2 linked regions of the Coturnix japonica genome follow. The protein of the gene in region 1 purifies or fractionates together with the protein of each later gene. This does not show direct contact. Links are inferred from orthologs where the notes say so. Each region holds a gene or a part of one and is shown on either strand. Other genes may lie near its edges.

The links. Proteins that work in one complex are often made in the same cells at the same time.
Region 2: the proteins of SHC1 (region 1) and PRKCD purify together in Homo sapiens (affinity purification with mass spectrometry; 3 studies listed by BioGRID and IntAct, with this or other methods). This does not show direct contact. The link is inferred for Coturnix japonica from reciprocal best matches to the Homo sapiens genes SHC1 and PRKCD.

Annotation. Positions count from the first base shown.
Region 1 is NC_029540.1:1,438,553-1,441,640, reverse strand, and holds the end of SHC1 (SHC-transforming protein 1), read right to left. Parts: intron 3,019-3,088; coding exon 2,967-3,018; intron 2,825-2,966; coding exon 2,698-2,824; intron 2,595-2,697; coding exon 2,426-2,594; intron 2,226-2,425; coding exon 2,165-2,225; intron 2,060-2,164; coding exon 1,892-2,059; intron 1,816-1,891; coding exon 1,553-1,815; intron 1,392-1,552; coding exon 1,263-1,391; 3' UTR 516-1,262; downstream 1-515. UniProt on the Homo sapiens protein: Signaling adapter that couples activated growth factor receptors to signaling pathways. Participates in a signaling cascade initiated by activated KIT and KITLG/SCF.
Region 2 is NC_029527.1:587,034-589,254, forward strand, and holds the end of PRKCD (protein kinase C delta type), read left to right. Parts: intron 1-555; coding exon 556-684; intron 685-1,139; coding exon 1,140-1,298; 3' UTR 1,299-1,706; downstream 1,707-2,221.

The DNA of each region.
Region 1 (3,088 bases):
AGGGGTTCAGGGGTGGAGGAGGAACATGGGAGGCGCCTCGGGGGGCAGAGAGGAAGAAACCACTTTTAGAGGGGGGGGGCGGGAAGAACCACGTTAGTGTCTTAGGGGGGAGGAAAACCATAGGGAGGCTGTCTCAGGAGAGGAGGGAGGAAAAGAAAACCACAGTTGGGGGTGGGGGAGGAGGGAACCAATGGGACGGGGTCAGGGGGGTAGGAGGAACCTATGAAGGGGGTCGGGGGGGGGTCGGGGGGGGAGGAACCGAGGGAGGAGGGCTCTGGGGGGAGGAAACCATGGGCAGGGAGGGCTCAGGCTGGAGAAACCATTTGGGAGGGGGCTCTGGACGAGGGGGAGGAACCAGGGGGAGGCGGGACCAGGGGGGAGGAAGGAAGAAACCACGTTAGGGGGGCTCAGGGGGGAGGGAGGAACCATGGGGAGGGGGCTCAGGGGGGAGGGGTCCCGGCCGCCACCCCCTTAGGTTCTCAACCCGCCCCTTCCCCAACACAGCAGCCGCATCGTAAAGAAATACCAACTTTAATACGAACCGCCGGATCCTTTGGTTATAGCGGGGCCGGGGCTGGGCTGCGCTTTGGCTTCGGGGGGGGGTCGAGGTGCATGCAGTGGGGACCCGGCCAGCTCCGGCTTTAAGGGAGGTGCCCGAGAAGGGGCTTGGCAGGACCTGGAGGGCATGAAGGAGCTGGCAGCCCCCCCACCCCAGCCCGGCTGCATTGCATATATGTGTGGGACCTGCGGGGTCAAGGCACAGTTACACATAAAGTGATCGGGTACATTCGGTGCGCGGCCGGCCGGGCCTTGTTTGTGCTTGGGGAGCAGAGCGCAGGGCACAGCCCTGGGTGAGCCCCCCCCACTCCATCCCCCCCACCCCAACCCCTCGGGGCTGGTGCTGCTCATGGGATGAAGCCTGGCCACCCCCAGTTCCAACCAGGCTGGAGCAGAACCCGGCCCTGGGCTGGTGCCCCCCAGTGCTGACACCGTATGGGGCCGGGATTTGGTATGAGCTGAGCAAAAGGCTGGAGCTGGGAGGAGAGGAGGGGGCTTTGGCACTACCAGCCCCCCGGCCCCACAGGCAGCTCACACCACGCTGCCTGCAGCCCAGGGCTGCCAGCTTCGTGTGGTGGTGGTGGGAGGGTGAGGACCATCCCCAAGGCAGTCCACGCTCAGCCCCGGCTGAGTCCAGGTGCTCCCCAGGGTGGGAAGCAGGGCTGGGGGGTGTGGGGGGGTGCGCACCGAGGCCCCCCTGGAGCTCACAGTCTCCTTTCCACTGGCTGCTGCAGGCACATCTCGCTGCCAGCTGAGATGATGGGCAGGTGATTGTCCATATGGTAGCTGATGAGGTGGCTGACGCTCTCAAAACGATGATCTTTTGTCCGGACCTGCAGGGAATAGGGAACTCAAGAGGCTGCAGATACACCCAGGAGTCCCCTCTATGCTTTACCAGGCCTCCTCCATCCCCTAAGCCAGCCCGGAGGTGTCCCCAAGGTGGGGTTGTGGGGAGATGTAGGGCCCCCCAAGCTTTGGGGTTATAGAGACTCACCACTCCTTCGGGGTCGACGAGCAGCAGGTGCTTGGGCTGCCCACCCTGCAGGCCGGTCAGCACGTACTGCCCCGGGGTGGTGATGCTGTCCCTCACCAGGAAATCTCCATTCACCTTCAGCAGTTTCTCAGCCTCTTTGCGGTTCATCTTCCTGTGATACCACGGTTCCCTCCTCAGCTGCTCCTCCATGGAGGCCACAACTTGGGCAGGAGGAACGGTCACGGGCACAGACTGGGGGGCACGAAGGGCATCTTCAAATGGCTCTGCAGGAGAAAAGGAAGGGGCTCCATCACACACCCAGCACAGAGTGCACAGCCTGCAGCTGCTGTCCCCACTCACTCATGTCGAAGAGGTCTCGCTGGGCGCTGCCGTTGGCTGTTGCAGGGCTGCCTGCAGCTGCTGCTTGGCGTGTCTTGTCCACGTTCTGCACGTTCACATAAGATGGGTCATCAAATAGGTCCGTACGGCCGGACGCACCCGCTGCAGGTGGGTATTTCTCTCTTCCTGCTGCACAAAGCGCTGTGGTCAGCAGCGCTCCGGCACCAGCACTTATTGCTGGAGCACTTTGGGACCAGGAAAGCCTATGGGGACCAGCCACATCCATCACATTACCTTGAGCGGGACCGTGCTGCTTCCTGGGGTCAAATTCCCCACCAGACGTCTGGCCAACAGGCTGTAGAGAGGCACATGGTGAGACCAAAAGACCTTGCTGTACTCTTACCCCTCCCCAAACCCCAGTATGGACTGCCAGAGGTGCTGGACAGAAGCGTGGTGTGGATTTTGTGCAGCCCACAGCCCCATTGGGGTCCTTGCATCTCCCCTATATAGCAGAACCTCCCCAGCAGCCCCTTGCAGACACGCTCAGCGCCTTACCAGTGTGGCCCCCAGGTGATTGGGGGTCTGCGCAGCTCCATCCCGCAGCCGCATGTCCACGACCCCCCCTATAGGAGGCTCCTTGCCAGGGAAGTCGTTGTAGTACTGGTGATCTGGGGCAGGCTCCTCCTCTTCCTCATCCCAGGCTGAACCATCAAACCCTGCCATCCTGGAAGGGAACAACACACAGCTGAACAGCTGACAGCAGCCAGGCCTGCATCCCCTCCCAGCACCAATAGACCTCATGGACCCCCATCTCTCCCTTCTCTTACCTGTCGTGGGGTGTCACCAGCTTCGGGGGGTTCTTTAGGTACTGCTTGAAGCGCAGCTCAAAGGCTTGTCCAATTGTGCTGATCACATCCTGGGCCAAGCCCTCAGGGCACTCCAGGATATGGCAGGCTGGGAAGGGAACAGCGAGATGAGAGCAGGATTAAATCCTACACCCCCTGATCCCACCCTGTGCACCCCAGAGATTCCCTGCAGGGACCCAATCCCTCTCTGAGCTGCACCCAAAATGGGGCTCTTGCAATTCCAGCCTCACCTCTCTGGTTGACGGGGTCTTTGGCAACGTAGGCGACGTACTCAGCTGTGTCCTGTGGGAGAGAGTGGTGATGAGCCAGGGCTGCTCAGTGCCCAAGACTTAGGGGAGAAGGCAGGAGAGGC
Region 2 (2,221 bases), on another chromosome or scaffold:
AGGAGAGAAGGCTGCGGTGAGAGCTGAGAGCAGCCTGTCAGTATCTAAAGGGGCTGTAAGAAAGAAGGGGATGGAGCCTGTAGCTGGGTCTGCTGTGACAGGACAAGGGGAAATGGTCTTAAGTTAAAGAGGGGAGGATTAGATTTGATATTAGGAAGGTTTTTAGTGCCTTTGTGCTTGTTTGTTTTTTACAATAAGGGAAGTGAGGCCCAGACGGGGGGTGGTGCCCCATCCATGGGGACATTCAAGGTCAGGCTGGATGGGGCTCTGAGCACTGATGGAGCTGAGGGTTTCCCTGCTCACTGCAGGAGGAGTAAGGGATGCCTTAAGGGTCCCTTCCAACTCAGAACTTTCTATGATTCTTTGAAATCTCAGCTTTTAAAAGGAGCTGCTTATCAGCCTGCAGATTACTTTGACAAGCTGAAAGCCCAGGGAGGTTAACACTGGAGTTTACTGTCAGCAGCCCTTGCTGGCTCAGCAGCACACCCCTTACTTCTTCAGTGCCACCTGCCTTCTTAGCAAATGTATGGCATCATTGGTTATCTTCTCTTGCAGCTATTTGAAAGAGATCCGACAAGGAGACTGGGAGTCACCGGGAATATCAGGGATCATCCTTTCTTCAAAACCATCAACTGGACGACCCTAGAGAGGAGGGAGGTTGACCCTCCTTTCAAGCCCAAAGTGGTACGTGGATGAGTCTTTGTTTCATGGCAATATTGCACATGCCCACATAGGAGCCAAGGGGGGTTTTATCAGTTTTATCCAGACACAAAAGAGCTGCAGGAAGGCAGCGGGTCTGTCTCTGAGCAAATGCAGACCTTCAGTGCTCTCAGGAACTTACGAGTATTTGTTGATTCCAAGGAATGGGTTTAAATGTGACTGCATGGCTTGTGTCAGTAGAGAATCGGTGGGTACTGAAGTGAAGCTTCACCACAAGTCCAGGTGCTTCTTTTCCCAAGGCGGCACAGAGCTGTTTGCTTCCACCCAACCAGATGTGATGGTGCTGCTGTTGTGTTGTCCTGAATAGGCAAAGAGGGTTTTTTTCACTGTGTGGTTTTTCACTGTGTGGTTTGGGAAGCGCTGCAGCTCTGGAAGCTTTGCAGCCCCATCTCAAACTGCTCCTCCTGCTCTATTAACAGAAATCAGCGAGTGACTACAACAACTTCGACAGAGAATTTCTGAACGAGAAACCGAAGCTCTCGTACAGCGACAAGAACCTGATCGACTCCATGGATCAGTCTGCGTTCGATGGCTTCTCCTTCACCAACCCCAAATTCGAACAGATCTTAGAAAAATAATCCGAGCGGAGCCGGACTTCAACAGCCCTAAATGTTCTGAGCAGAAGCTGCAGTGCCAAGTGCTGCGTGTGTCCCAGTGCTGCGGCCCAGTGCTGTGTCAGTACGTCGGAGTGGTAGCGTGGTGAATGATGTGTAACTGCTGATTTACTGGCAGTGTTCTTTTATGCATGGCCGGGGGCGAGGTATGTGAATCACGTGCATTATTTTCTCTGTTTGGGAAAATGTAAATTGTTTGGTTACTTGAATGTAGTTGTTTTATATATCTATAAATACCTGTGCTGTATATTTTGCTCGAGGCATTGCAGAATGGAAGCTGTCTTTTTAAATAGAAGTGTTTCTTTGAGCCCTCGGCTCTTCTGTCCTCGCTCCAAAGAAACTCATATTAAAAGCTTCCATTCTTTGCTGTGATTTTGTCTTTCCTGCAGAAATATCCAATTAAACCCCAGTTGTGTTTAATCCACGGTAGAAAATGATAAAACTTTCAAGCTTTTTTCACTTACAAAGATAAGAAAAACTGTTCTATGAGGGATTCCCAGCTGGTGGGGGCAGCAGGGCTGTGAGTTGTGCTCTAAGGCCCATGTAAAGCAGCTGGGGGCTGCAGCCAGTGCTGCCCTTAGCTGTGCATCCCTTGTTAATGAATGCCTTGATCTTTGCTAGGCAAAAATAAGAAACAAACTCACTCCCCTTCCCAGAAAGGACTTCTTAAAAATGTTTGTGTTGCAGCAACTCCCGACTTTCACTTCTGCAGCAGGGCTGGAAGCACAACTGAGCTGTACATCTGCTGCTGTGTGCCAGGCTGCAGGGACTGCTCTGAATGTATCCTGCAGGGAAGAGCTGGGCAGCAGCCGCTCTGCTCTCCATCCCTGCAGCACAGACCCCCTGACCAGCCCAGCTCCCTTCACTCACTTTGTTCTTCCTTTCCA